Elephas maximus indicus: one gene and its partner. The protein of the gene in region 1 interacts with the protein of each later gene in a biochemical or structural test. Links are inferred from orthologs where the notes say so. Each region holds a gene or a part of one and is shown on either strand. Other genes may lie near its edges. The genes, in order: CHML and RAB1A.

Region 1 (7,490 bases):
TCTATCCTCTAGATATCAGCCAGGAGACAAATGATTATGAAGGCTGTTACCTAGCCTTGACACAAAACGAAGGGTATGTCAAATGCTCTGATTCACTGCTATCAGTTTTAGTTAGTGTTGCTACTTAAAGCTGGTAGAGTCATCAAGGTTGTATGTTTCATTCTCACTGAGAAACCTCGACTGAACTATTTACCAACCAAAACAACCAAACCCATTGCTGTCAAGTCATTCCTACTCATAGCAACCCTACAGGACAGAGAACTGCCCCATGGGGTTTCCAAAGAATGGCTGGTGGATTTAAACTGCGATGGCTTTAATCCCAGGTTAAACATGCCTCAGTCAATTTCTTAGGAATTTCAGTACAGCCACTGTGAAGTATCTTTTCTTGGAGCATTGCTGCCCCCCTTTGTGGCCTGAGTTACTTGCTGGAAGTTCTTTTGAGTTGGCCTCATCTACTGAACTTCAAGTTAGAGCAGGGCTCTGCAGAGATTTTCTGAAGTATTAAACCAGAACTAATCTTATCCTCTAACTTTTTTCTCAAATGAAACTCTGAAAAATAAGCTCTTCAACTAGTAAATTCTGACTCTTTCTGTAATATGGAACTAACTCAGTTGGTTACCAAGGTCAAGCTGCTGAATTATACCATAAAATGTATTTTAAACATCAGCCCTTCACAAAGAATAAAGAATCATGCAAGGCTATTTGCTTAACAATTACAGACAAATGTATTTTATCATATTGGCACTTGGATTGGTTGCTATTACCATCGCCACACTACGTGTCCATAATACACATAAAAAGACTCACATAATTTATTTTTGTGTGGTTCACTGTTCGAATATCTCCAAGAAAGCAGATGTGGTAGGAAATGCAATCGTTGCAAAAGTATTTGAAATATTCCTTAGGGATTATTAATTGCTCTGTAGATAATGATAAAATCTGAAGATCACTGGATACAATATTACCTTCCTTTAAGCAGAGTTCCGAATATGGAACGCTCATATATATATGCAATACCAAAAATAAAGCTAACACTATTTAAGTTTATGGATCTTGGGGTCCATTCTTAAACAAAAGAAGTCCAATAAGCAATGAATCAGCTACCGATAAACAAAGACATCCAATGACTGAATGTCTGTCTCATAGAGAGTTAAAGACAACATCTAGCACTGCATTTATCATATAACCACTTCTATTTATTCATATGGAAACTGTCCTTGAAATGAGAATATTCTGACGCCAATGCAGAATTTCCAGTTTTGCCTGTTCTAATTTTGAAGCAGCTTCCCTGGACTTTCTAGGGTTTTGCTTTCTTCAGAGGATTCTGGTTCAGCCATTATTGTCTTATTGGTTCCAGGAGCCTCTGGTTGCCTATCATCACCATCAAAGACAATGTCTTCTGGATTTGGAGGTGGGGGGCAGAATTCTTCACTTGGAAAGATCTCATGGAAAAGTGTTTCAGCTTGCTTGACAGCATGCTCACTTCCCAGACCAGAGTCAGGCCCAGAACAGACATAAACGTTGGAAGGCAAGCCATTATATGAGCTTCTGCTGATTCCTGAGGAATCTCTCATATTAAAATAAAGAGCCCACAAGAGTCTTGGCTTTTCAAGCGCTTCCTTGTCTACTTCCGTTTCAGCATATGGGGTGAATAACTTCTTCACCACTGATTCTAAATCTTCTCTTGCTGTTTTAGAAGATGAACACGTCAAATGCACCAGATAGGTGTCTTTCATGCATGTCATGGTTGAAGAACATAATTCAATGACCCGAACAGCACAGGTCCCTGCTTCTACTGGAGGCACTATCAAAACAGAAATCTGCTGGTCTGAATCTGTCTTCAGTATAGATTGGTCTGTAATGAGCACTGCCCTAGAGATCTGCTTATACTGCACATGTGCACATGTTTCCTCAGAAAGGTAGCTATCCTCCACAATAAAATACTTGGCATTTATCCTTTGGCCAAAGTGATCTATAACTGCTTTACATCTCCCAGATTCTTTGTCAACTATAAGGCAGTGTACCTTATGCCGAAGACAATAGATTCCGCCAAAGACTGCACACATCCTGCAGAAACACTGGGGAATTTCTCCTTGGCCGTATAAGGGAAATAAGAAGGGAGTGTTGCCGAACCGTCCAAGACACTGAAGGAAGTTTTTTGTTGCTTTAAGGCCATCTATCGTAGTGCAAGATGACTCTGATGTCATTGCAATTGAGTGCAGTACAAAATGTTGGAGATTTGGAGTTAATTTTTTAGTTTTTAAGTACTCTGAAAATGAGCATTGCTTGAAAGCTTCGTATTCATCAGGATGTTGCTCATAGTCAACGCAAAACGTGAGAAATTTCATGAGCATCCTCTTTTCAACCATAGTGAGTTCTTTGCTATTGAAGACATCTGCTCTGGAACAAGGCACTTGTTCAACTTTTCCTTCCCAAAATGCAAGAATCCTTGTGACATTTTTAAATTCTGCATATCGACTGACATTTGATTTGATTAAAAGGTCAATCAGCAATCCTTGAGAATACAGCAGCTTTGATACCAAATCAATATTAAACCTCCTGCCTTCTTTAACTATCTGAGAGTAAGTAATCCTGTTTCTTGTTGGCTGGTCTGTGTTGCCTTCTCCTGCAGGTTTGTTTTCATCTTTGTCTGCATCTGAAACCGCGTGAGCACGAGCTCTGTCTCCACCATCGTTTCCTTTCTCCGGGGGTTCCTTGACGTCATTTACATCTAGCGAAATCTCTCCATCACTTTTTGAAGTGTCTTGGGCAGGCCTTTCATAGCTAGGAATGTGTACTAAGTGCTCGTCTTCGCCCAAGCATGCAGAATCCAGAGTTTCAGTGAGGGTACTAGATGCCACTGAGCAAGGATTTTTCTGCAAAGCACCAACCTCTTCAACACTGTCATCCAAATCTTGACTGGCATAACAAAAAACTTCCACGTGTTGAATGGTTTCATCTTTCTTGCGAAGAGTAATGGCTTCTTCTGTTTCATGGATCAGGCCTTGCCATGCAGCTGTACTTTCTTCCCCATCAACACAGTTTTCCTGATATTCCTTCAACCAGGATAGCAATCCTGAAAAGCTGAAGCTAGCCCAGTTCCCTCCATAGTAACTTCTGGAGTCAACATGCAGAACCCTCTGGCCACTTCTTGAACTTGCAGCTGCAAGGATGGATTCAGGCAAACCTGTCCCTATTATAACCACATCAAACTCTGTGGGGAGACTGTCTGCCATCCTGGGAGGTAATGTGTCTGGTGACAACTGCCGATGAAGGAAATGCGTACAACTCTAGGATGAGGGCTCAGCCGAGGTGTGACTATGCTGAAATAGAGTCTCTCCTTGTGATGTTCCAGTTCATCCCAGAGGCATCAAGGTTGCAGGTCCTAGCTGTTTAATGATTACCCTTTTTAAATATATATATATATATATTTTCTTATAGGTCAGTAGCATGAAAACATGATAAAGTACATCTAATCATTCTGAGAATACTAAAAGTGATGTGTGGTTTTCATTTCTGTATTTCATCTTAGCAGTGAATGTCAAAATGCATCACATATGCATTTGTGACTGGAACTCTTCTCTGAAAGAAGAAAATTCAAAAAAGAATACAATTGTAAACAACATAAAAGTAATTTCATGCAACACCAATTACAGTCTGATGGGGCCTCACTTGTTATCTGGATAGAAACCTCAGCTAAATCAAGTCATTAAATGCTTTCTCACATAGTTTCTAATTTCCTGAAAATGAACAATGGAGATATACTCTCGCAAATCACTTAGTTTGATAACGAAAAATGGACATAATAATGTCTGACAAAAATAAAGAAGAATTAGCATAATAAAATTCTGTAAGTTTTACTTTCAATAAAACTACATACAACTATGAGTTTAGACTCTAAGAAATGTGTGATGCCATTGTATTTCTGGGAATAGATTATAGGCTATGTGAATACTGTCATGATTAGGGGTATTTCCAAGGCCAATATAGTTGGTCATTCTAGAGGTGTTGACCAGAATACCTTTCCAGACCCCAACCACCCATAGGATCTTATGGTAGTCACATGAAAGTATGACTATTATGACTGAATTAATCAGCCGGTTATTAATAAAAGATGAATCTGTAAATCGGTAAAGCAACCGGCATTTAAAAATACTTAGGTGCATAAACGAATAGGCCTACCGGGAAAGATATTTATTTGTAACAATTTTTTTACGTGAATGTACATACGCACATATATGTTCTGTAGAACATTCCCGGGTTCATATGTTAGAATATCTTAACATAAATAACTTACATCTACTTCTAACATTTGAATAGGATGATTTCGTATTTTGCTAGACTTCTACAACTCTGAATCTCTGTATCCCAAGAAATACTTGCTGTCTAAACATCCTCTGCCAAGACTAACGTGTTTTTTTGATGTTTTTGGTTTTGAGGGGGTGGGAGGTGGTAGTGATTAAAGTCTTCTGTGAACTTCCAGCATACTCCATGTGCAGAACACCCGTGTGGCACTAGGTGTGGCCAGCTGTGGAGCAGCCATGGGCTAAAGGGCATTCTCACCTAGAAGTCTACAGTAAAGCACGACCTCCCCACACCTATGCACGAGGGCTGCCCTCTACACACTCTGCTGCTAGAGGGGTCTTTCTATCATTCATTACACAGTGAGTAAGAGTGACAGTGCTTTGAATTCTGATCTCCCTTTCTGCTTAACCTACTAGAATCTGCATCAGTACAAGTTAGGCCTACCTACGCTGTCTAGTCAAAGCCTCTGCCTCATTCCCTGAGAAACCAGGAACTGCACACAGAACGAGGTGTTTGCCTGGCCTATACATGTATATATATGTACGTATGGCTGAGTTATTTATTCTGCCTTCTTCCAGCAGGTGTGAAGAGAGTGACAGATTCCACGAGGGTACGTGAAGAAGTGTGATCCTAGCACAGGCTTATCCTTAGCTTAGCAGGGGATAGTTAGGAGCTGAGGGTGGAAGTCAGTATAGAGAGAGGACAGAAGCCACAAGTGCTAAAAGAAAGCACCTCTTAAGCTACAAATATCAAAGGAGTCATCAAAATACATAGCTAGACGAGACCTTAGAGAACATTTAGCTCAACTACTCCATAACAGAGATGAGAAAACTGACCCCTGGAGAGTTTAATCGACCTGGGAAAATGTACACAGTTCATCAGCCATAGACTCAAGAGCGGAATGCACCCTCATGCCATCAGCCACTATATTTTCCCACTATATCAGGCAGCCTCCTCAAATGCCTCTGGGGGCTGAGGACAGGGTGTAGCCACTGCAGCTTTTTTTTTCCCCCCTCCCTCTTCAGTACTCCATGGCTAGTTGCTTTTTGCTCAAGAATAATACCTGGGGAAGCATGCTGCCTTCTTCATGTTTAACCCTAATCTAGAAGCATCATCCTTAGAATTTACTCCAAAGAAATCTGAATCGTTACTAAGAACTTTTCAAGCTCCATCATAACCCCACTCCTGACCTGTCTCCAAGGGTTTAAACAGGTCTCTGGACCTCTTACCTCTGAGTCCCCACCTCTAATTCAAAAGCAGGAATAAAGTCATGGTTGAAAACACTGACCAAATGCCCAGAAAAACAGAGCAGTCCTGAGGTAAAAGACTGCACGATGAGTGTTTCTAGCATTCTTTGAAAATCGCTTCTGATTGGGATGGGCCTTGGGCAGGGAAGGTGAAGGAGGAGAGAAGAAAAAGGAGACAGGAGACAGGAGGGTGGTGTAGGCAGAGGAAAGAGGTTGAGGAGAGGGTCCACGTTGGCAGTAATAAAGAACTCAATACACCATTGCTTTCAAACTACCTTCCAGGCAGATTAAGGTAGAAATAGAATTTCCCAGCACAGAAAAGGTACTTTGTGGAAATAAGAGATTTCACATCTATGACCAAACACCTGTTGTCCATCCTAGGGGGCATTATTTTTGACACTTGGCCTTGAATCACCCTCTTTAAAGCTTAGCCCTGACTTTAAAAAAAAAAAAAGCCTAATAGGTATTTTTATTAATATAAAGAATTTAATCACATAGCCATCTGTATCATCACCTACATACACTTAAAGCCCCCTCCCCAAGTTTCAAATCTTTGTACACATGAAAGTCTCAGATGAACGCTTACTGGGGAGTGGGGAGAGAATGGTATTAGAATTACTGAGATAATTAAATTAATGGAGTGATGATTCCTACGACATTTTCTTGTTTGCTTCAAAATATCAAAAAATGAACCATTAGCAAACATCATATTTGGGTTTGTCACAGCATAAGAAATCGGTGAGCAAAATATTTTTGATGATTATTACAAAGATTTTGTTCTCCGAAACCTGCTAAGATAAAAAAGCAGTCATAAATTATCAATAGATTTCTGGACAGAAAAGGAATTTTAACACCTGAAAAATATACATTTCTATCTCAAATCATTGTTCAAATAAAACTGCCAGAAAAAAAAAGGGCACCCCAAAATAATTTATTTCCCAAGCTTAGAAAATCATGTCTTCCAACGAAATGCTGGGTTGATCATCCTTAAAATGTCAGTTTCTGTGAGATTTAATTCTTCCATGGGGATTAGAAGAGATAAACTGTAGAGATAAATTTTCAATTAACAATCAAGTCGTTCTGCTTTAATGAAATCTACTGTTTGCACAGCTATTTGTTCATCTGAGTTGGGATTCTCACCTTAGATTTTGGTGTCATGGAACCTATAAGGAGGAAAATATAGTAAAAAACAGCTGATAGGACACATGCTAATTTGCATTCCTGAATGAAACTGTGTCACTTCCTAGGAAGCATTCAAAGGTTTACAACTGCTAAGGTGCAAAAGAAAAAAAAAAATTACACATTGCTATTATTTTAGGTTTCCACCTCTCATTTTAGGAATAAGAAAAAAAAATGTGTATGAATTAAGTTTCTTCCCGTTACCCTTCCCCCAACTTTCACGAGTTAGTCACTTTTTTCCTTGAATCTCCCGATTCTACTTTCCTCGTCTCTTTCCTCAAAGTGCAAAAGCCGTCGTTAGTGCCCTGTTGAATTATTGTAGGAGGTAAAAGCAGAGAAAGGAGATGAGCTTGGCAGCGGCTGGCCAGGGCTACGGAGGGGCTGGGGCTAAAAGCAGCAGGAGATGATGACGGGCTGGGGTTTGGGGTCCACATGGGGGGACGGAGAGGTGGTCAGCGCTGGCGGGGCGAGCCCAGGGGAGGAGGAAGGCGGGCCGTGCAGCAGGAGGGAGACGCGGAGGGGAGGCTGGTGCCAGGGGCGGCAGGCGGGGCGAGCGGGCGCGCCGGGCCGGGCGGGAAGGAGCCGAGGTGGGCTGGTGGCTCTGCAGGGAACCGGACGCTCGCTCCCTCCTCCCCGCCCAACTCACCGAAGAGGCTGCTGCTAAACCCGTCCCACACGCAGCCCACGGTGTCCCAGACCCAGCCGTTCCTCAGGCAGGACACGAAGGTAAAGGTGACCCCGAAGAGGGACACGAGCAGG
Region 2 (7,964 bases), on another chromosome or scaffold:
GAACTTTTCTTGGCTCTCCACCACCTACTGAATAAAGTCTAAACTCCTTAGCAGGCAGTTGGGGCTCCCCATGATCTCACCTCAACCTAACTCAACCTAACCTTCTCCACCTCATCTCCCATGGAACCTGTGGTCACTATTGCTTACACGTGTACATTTTCACACTTCCCGTGGTTTTGCACAAATTCTCTTGCTCATATTCTGGGATAAACAGCCCCCTCTCCCCCATTTCTAGTGGTGATCAAACTTCTATTCTTTTTTAAGGCCTAATTCAAATACCACCTCATCAACAAAGTGCCCTCGATTTTTCGAGTTGGAATTATTTCCCTCCACTGTACTTTCACCTCAGATCATTTTTTAAATACTAGGTTTATAATTGAGGTATAACTTACATGCAGTTAAATCAACTTTCTTTTAGGTATACAGTTATATGAGTTTTGATAAACATATACAGTTAAGTAATTAACCACCACAGCAATCAAGATATAGAGTATTTTTTATCAAACCAAAAAGTTCCCTTGTGTCCCTTAGCAAACAATTCCTTCCTTCCCATACCTGTTGTTGTTAGGTGCCATCAAGTCAGTTCTGACTCACAGCGACCCTATGTACAACAGAAAAAAAACTGCCCAGTTCTGCACCATTCTTATAACCGTTGCTTTGACCCCATTGTTGCAGTCACTGTGTCAATCCAACTCATAGAGCGTCTTCTACTTTTTCACTGACACTCTACTAAGCATGATGTCCTCCTCCAGTGGCTGATCCCTCCCGATAACATATTCAAAGTATGTGAGACAAAGTCTTGCCATCCTTCCTTCTGAAGAGCAATCTGGCTGTCCTTCTTCCAAGACAGATTCGTTCATTCTTCTGGCAATCCATGGTATATTCAATATTCTCCATCAACACTATAATAAGTCAAAAGCGTCAATTCTTCCTTGGTCTTCCTTAGTCATTGCCCAGCTTTTGCATGCATATAAGGTGATTGAAAATATCATGGCTTGGGTCAGGTGCACCCTAGTCCTCAAGGTGACATCTTTGCTTTTTAACTCTTTAAAGAGGTCTGTGAAAGAGCACTCTAAAACTGAGGAGCTTGGGGTAACTAAAATGGCTGACACAGGTCTGAATCAGACTCCATTTTGTTTTAAACTCCTCCTGCTGCTTGTTAAGTATTAGTGCCACTTTCTCATCAACAAGTCTTGCTTTGCAAACAAATGTGGTTATTTTTCTTTGACTATGATTCTAGGAAGGGTGTGTGGATCGTTCTCAGAAAAAAAAAAATGCTTGCCCTCTAGAAGAATGTGTTTGAAAATAGATTAACTGATATGAAGAAAGGTCTGTTTGCAGTTGCAGTTACTCTAACCTTCTTGTATAAAAAACCTTGCCTTCGTTTGTAAATTTTGGAGCACTTTGTATTTTTACCTAGTGCTTCCCAGCTATAGCTGTTACTCTTCTTCAATAAATCCCCTTTTCTTTCACTCCTAACAGAGTATGAGATTTTTCTTTGTCAGATCTTTTGCAGCGAATTTGCCCCCTGCAATACGTTGTTTGATTTCTTGACAATCCTAGTTCCTGCCAATCACTGATTTGATTCCTGTCCCTATACATCTCATATCATTTTAATCTATCTTTGCATTTGCCCCTCTATGCCTTGTTTGTGTACACATCTCTCCCACTGGATTGTAATCTCCTTGAAGACAGACAGTTATAATCATTCGTCTTTGCATTTCCCATTGTTCCAAGAACAAGTTCCAAACACATTTAACACATTGTTTTAAGCATAAGTTCCAGACACATTTTTGTGTCAGCTCATGAATACCTGATGAAGAAAAAAAGTGGAAAGAGACGGAGAAATGAAAGTTAGAAAAAAAGAAGAGACAAACAGCCCTAGCAGAGTTCTGATTCAACAAGAGGACAGCCTATAAGACTCATGCTAGTTTAATGAATTATTCTGAGTTATTAATCTTAACTATAAAAGTGTTGTTGTTAGGTACTGATGAGTCAGTTCCAATTCATAGCAACCCCATATACAACAGGAAGAAATACTATCAGATCCTGCGCCATCCTGACAATCATTGCCATGTTTGAGCCCATTTCTGTAGCCACTGTGTCAATTCATCTCGCTGAGGGTCTTTCTCTTTTTTGCTGACTCTTTACCTAAAGAAAAAAAAAAAAATTTTTTTTTTTTTTTCTTTACCTTACCAGGAAACCCTGCTGGCATAGTGGTTAAGTGCTACAGCTGCTAACAAAGAGGTCGGCAGTTTGAATCTGCCAGGCGCTCCTTGAAAACTCTACGGTGCAGTTCTACTCTGTCCTATAGCGTCGCTATGAGTCAGAATCAACTTGACGGCAGTGGGTTTGGTTTTTTGTTTTGTTTTGACCTTACCATGCACAATGTCCTTCTCCAGGGACTGGTTCTTTCTGATAACACGTCCAAAGTACATGAGACGAAGTCTTGTTATCCTTGCTTTCAAGGAGCACCCTGGCTTCTTTCAAGACAGGCTTGTTTGTTCTTCTGGTAGTCATGGTATAGTCAACATTCTTCACCAACATCATAATTCAGAGGCATCAATCTGTCTCTGATCTTCCTTATTCATTGTCCAGCTTTTGCATGCATATGAGGAGACTGAAAATATCATGGCTTGGTCAGGCACACATTACTCCTCAAAATGATACCTTCACTTTTTAACACTTTAAATAGGTATTTTGGAGCAGATTTGCCCAATGTAATATGTTGTTAGATTTCTTGACTTGCTGCAGTTGGAGACTTAAACAACTTGAAGTAAGTTGAAACATCCACCCACCACTCTCAAGCTGCTACTTGCATATTATACCATAATGAGATATAAAGCTTTTTGTCCTTAGTGTATAGCAGGTACACTTAAAACTTGCAGGGAAGAGGATAAAGAGAATTTTTAACCAGTGCCCTCAAAAAGTCATTGTGTTCTACAATTCTATTCGATTTTATTTCATTCTCACAACCAATTTAGGTTAAAAGTTATTAGAAGGTACTTCTTTGCTAGGAAAAGAAATAAGTAAAGGACTTTGGGGGTATGCTTCCAAGAGGAAGGAGAGATTAAAAATTGCATTTTTGGCTCAGGAGAAGTCCTTGAGCCCTTTTCTCATTTTTTATTCTATGAAGTTTCAATAAGCTAGAAGTACTGAGGTATGTTACTGTTCAGGGTGTCTATCGTTGACCCATTCTGGGTCCTTCTTCTGAGGTAGTGACTGTGTTCATTTCAGAAACCAGCATAATGTGAAGGAACTCTAGTGTACCTTTGATGAGGTTATCAACTAAGGTGCCAGCACTATTTGGGGATTAAGAGTTGTAGTTAGTAAAAATGGGGAGAAATAAGAACCACCTTCTTTCTATACTTTGATGTCATGAGAATATAAAATGATTTTGCAATAAGCCTTAGGAGATAATTTTCTTGGTTCCTAGAGCAAGTTGGAAGATAAACTTTGGACAACGTATTATACTGTGCCCTTCGTAATTAAATAACCCAAGATAATGTCTTAAAAGTTTAGTGATTTAAATTCCTGAACTGATTAAAGAGAGCTGTTAAGACCACAAGGTTTCAAAATTGTATCAATATTACTCCCTGAGTTTCTAGTTATGTATTGAGCGTTTCTATCCCTCACTACTGTCCAATCTTACAGATTGGCTCAGTACTAATAACAATTAAAAATAAGACAGTACACTTCCACTCAAAGGCTGGGGCTCGAACAGGAGGGACCTCGAATTTTAGGCTGACTCTGGGCTGTGTCTCATCCACGGAATGCGGAGCCATTGAAGATGTGGGGTAGTCAACATGAAAGTGCTGTTTCGGGAAGATAAATCTGGCCGTGTGTGCAAGATGGGCTGGGGTGGAGAAGAAATAGATGCAGAGTCCATTTGGAAGCTACCGCAATATCCAGGGTGAGGTGCTAGGAGCGGGCTGGAATAGGAATGAAAAGAAATCAAGAAAATGGGACTGCGTGCGGCCAATACTGGGATGATCGGACCCACTGGAAGAGTGAGGAAGAGAACTGAAAGAACGGCTTTGTGTTTTCCAGAGACCCGAAGTCTTTGGCAAAGTGCCTTTTACTTCCCTTCTATCCTGAGAGCGGGCATCCTGGGACCGGCCTAGAAGCTCAAGCCCCAAGGTGGTGAGGCCAGCAAAAGCCGCACCAGAGGCGGACCCGCCAGGCGTGTCCTCCGACACCCCCGGCCAGCCCGCCTCGGCACTCAGGCTGTCCCTCCGGTCTGACCCCTCCCTCCCTCCTCTCCCAGCCCCCTGCACTCACCCCACCCCCGTCCTCCGCCGGCCCCGAGCACTGCGCTCTGCCCCTCCCTTCCCCCTCCCCCGTGGGGCGCTGACTCGCCCGGCTGCCACGTCTCACTGATGACATCACCAGGGCAGCTCGGCGTTAGCCAATCCGCTAGGGGGAGTCCGAGCGAAGACCTAGCCAGCGAGTCAGCAGGGAGGGGAACGGGGAGGAGCGGCTGGGTGGGGGTGAAACTGGGGGGAATGAGGCGGACCACAGCCCGTCAAATACGCATGCACCAAATGCGCAGCGCTTGGCGGGAAGTTGAGTCCTGGTCCCTGCGCTGCACCGTCAGTCCTTAGCGCTCACAGACGCGGCCTGCGACTCTCTTTCCCGGCATGCCATGCGGTGCGGCCGCCCCCTGGCCGTGTAAAGGCCCCACGGTCTAAGGCTTCCCTATTTCCTGGTTCGCCGGCGGCCATTTTGGGTGGAAGCGATAGCTGAGTGGCGGCGGCTGCTGATTGTGTTCTAAGGGGACGAAGTGGGGGAAGACGTTTGCTCTCCCGGAACAGCCTATCTCATTCCTCTCCTTTGATTATCTGTGGCGCGGAGAGTCAGGGCGGCGGCTGCGGCAGCAAGGGCGGCGGTGGCGGCGGCGGCAGCTGCAGTGACATGTCCAGCATGAATCCCGAATAGTGAGTGTAGGAGAGCACCGGTCGGCTGGATCCGTGGGCTAGCTTGGGGAATCTCAAAGGGGGCGAGGAGGGCGGGGGTAGAGGCTTCGGCCGGGGTGAGGTGAGGGTGATGGGGCGGGAGAGGCCCGCGGCCAGGAGCCGGGCCCCATTGTCTGACGGCGGAGGGGCGGCCGGGGGGAGGGGGCGGGCCGGAGGGGTGAGCCGAGGGAGCCTGGACCCGGTCAGGTGGGAAGGCCGTAGTGCAGGGCCGGTGAGGAGGAAGGGGCCGCGAGAGAGTTTCGGGGAGGGGGGATTCAGGCGTTGGGAGTTGAGTGGTGGGGCGGTGGGAAGAGGTAGCTTCTCTTGGAGGAAGTGACTTTTGAAGGACTCATTTTTTAGGGTCGGAGGTAGGTAGGAGAGCTCTCCAACGGGGCACTATCAGCCCCTGTTCCTGCACCCTGCGGAGCTGTCAGGATCGCCAGGGTAGAAACCAGCTTTACTTGTAAATTCTGAGGCTATTTACTCTTTCCTCCCATCCTCCCCGCCAGGTTGCAGGTAATATGGATGCTTTTCAGGACTGCGTGGGATTGAGGGGAATGAGTAGCTGGCGAGAAGCGATTTAAAATTTTTGTTCTCTCTTTGAGTTTTCTGAAGGAGTTCTTTAAGAACTCGCCGGGCCCTTACTTTCCTAAGAACCTGGACATTTGGGAGTTTTTTTTATTTTTATTTTTTATAAGGAGGACGCAGAAGTCATTTTGTTTTCCGTAGGTCAAATAAAAGAACAAAACTGAAACCAAGGACCGTCTTCCTAATATTACCAAATTCAAGGAATCCTTTGCTGTCAAGTTGAAAGAGAAACGAATGGGACCTATGGTAGATCTGTAGGTTTTGTATTACCTGCTTGAATGCTTGCAGATAGGGAATGAGGCTCCATGACGTGTCATGAAAAGTTAATGCATTTTTTTTCTTGCTTACTCAGAAGTCACCACAGCAGATGTGACACACCTGGCTCCTTTCTTGGGAACTGGTGTTTACTTTCCTTGGGAAGACTTGGTAGGATTCTTCTCAGTGTCCATTGAAAAAATCCTCCTGCAGTATCCTCCACACGTGCACATATATATAAATTAATACTTGGAAAAGATTTAATTGATAATTCTCTTTAGAGTCAGCAGTTTTTAGGAGGAGAGGGGAAATTTTTTTTAAAGCAAAAATCAGCGTTTGTCCTAAAAGTTGAGTTTATTTGCTTAACATTTCCGCTTGAAAAGTCCACTCATTAGCTGTCATGTGTATGTCACATGGCTCTTGCAAAATGCATTCTGACTTCAAGTTTGGTAATGCTGCGGTTTGATGTGGGAATGTTCTTTCTTTTGTACTAAACAGAAGTCATAGTATTTTATTAGAATTTTATATAATTCGAGAAGTTGAGGATAGCGCACTTGTAGTAACATATTTGCTGTGTTGACAGTGTTTTATTTCTTTATCTGGGGCTCCAAGGACAAAGTTGGTTTTGCATAGTTGGACAGAGTTTTCCTGGCAACAGTAGAGGACGTGGATTTACCACTTATGAAGGTGTGTAAACCTCTGCTGTTCAGGGAGTTTTTCATATTTGCTACATGCATGCAGTACTGTAAATAGATCTTAAATATTAGTTGAACAGAATCTTGACAAGTTTCTTATTTTTGTAAAATAGGATAATGGTCCCGTCATTATTCCTACCAGGATCCTCGTGAGGTTCAAACTATAAGAGTCCTCTTGAGGTGGTGTACATCGTTATGTAAAGCATTATAGTAGTGCTGGGATTTAGGGATCTAATCCTTACCATCAAGGAGTTTATAAGGGAATATAGAACATAGATTGCATATATGTCAAATACCAGTAGGTACAGCAAGTTCTAGATAGGTGGCATGAATCTAAGCAACCAGATTTCAGAGGCGAGTGAGTGGTTTGGTTCAGGAAGGCTTGAAAGAAATGGAAGGTCTGACCTTTATAGAAACGGACCTGTAAGGGAATTAGAAGCAATTAGATTTGGTGAAGCAGAAGGGAATGAGGATTTTCCAAGGGGGTAAAAGGTAGAGGAATGGCTGATAAATGGCAAGAACAATACTTTTTTTTTTTTTTAAGAAAACATTATATTGTTGAATGGCTTATTTTACTGACCTTAAAAAGAACATTTCTGAGGAATTTACTTGGTGAAATATTAGTGTTAAAATAGTGAAAAACCAGGATGCAAAACTGCTTACAATAAGATCTTAATTATGATATTAAAATACGCTGAAGAAAACTGGAAGAAAATTCTTTAAAATATTAATGGTTACTTTCTCAGTTGTAAGTTTTTTTTACACTTTTACCTTTTTCAGTTCATATATACTGCTTTTATAGTTGGAAATTTATTAACTTTCAATTATAAAGACAGTATTTCTTTAGTAAATATGGTGTCAGACCATCCGTTCTTTTGAGTGCTATGGGTTATTGACTTCAACAGAATCAAACCTAGAAATAGTTTTTACAGTTTTTTTCCAGGTTCGAGTATTCTCCTTTAAAAAAAAAAAAAAGAACAAACTAAACCCATTGCCGTCGAGTGGATTCTGACCCACAGCAGCCCTGTAGGGCAGAGTAGGACTGTCCCGGAGGGTTTCCAAGGGTTCATTATGGAAGCAGACTGCCACATCTTTCTCCTGTGGAGCAGCTGGTGGCTTCAAACAGTGGACCTTTCAGTTAGCAACTGAGGGCTTTAACCGCTGTACCACCGGGGCTCCATTCACCATTAGGCTGCTGTTATATTCTAGACTGTGCCCTGGTGGTACAGTGGTTAAGAGCTTGGCTGCTAACCAAAAGGTGGGCAGTTCGAATCCACCAAGCCACTTCTTGGAAACCCTGTGGGGCAGTTTTCTTCTGTCCTGTGGGGTCGCTGTGAGTGGGAATTGTCTGGATGGCAATGGGTTGTGGTTATTTTTTTACAGTTAGGCTGTGCCTGATGTAATAATCTAGGAGTTTGGGGAAATATTTGGAGAAGTGTTAGTAAAAATTACTTGGGGCAATAGGAGGTGA

Evidence for each region.
Region 2: the proteins of CHML (region 1) and RAB1A form a complex in vitro, tested with the Homo sapiens proteins (2 studies listed by BioGRID). The link is inferred for Elephas maximus indicus from reciprocal best matches to the Homo sapiens genes CHML and RAB1A.

Annotation. Positions count from the first base shown.
Region 1 is NC_064842.1:22,515,605-22,523,094, reverse strand, and holds the start of CHML (rab proteins geranylgeranyltransferase component A 2), read right to left. Parts: upstream 3,237-7,490; coding exon 1,269-3,236; 3' UTR 1-1,268. Other genes in the region: OPN3 (opsin-3), read right to left, coding at 7,378-7,490. UniProt on the Homo sapiens protein: Substrate-binding subunit (component A) of the Rab geranylgeranyltransferase (GGTase) complex. Binds unprenylated Rab proteins and presents the substrate peptide to the catalytic component B.
Region 2 is NC_064835.1:71,583,998-71,591,961, forward strand, and holds the start of RAB1A (ras-related protein Rab-1A), read left to right. Parts: upstream 1-4,691; 5' UTR 4,692-4,914; coding exon 4,915-4,937; intron 4,938-7,964. UniProt on the Homo sapiens protein: The small GTPases Rab are key regulators of intracellular membrane trafficking, from the formation of transport vesicles to their fusion with membranes.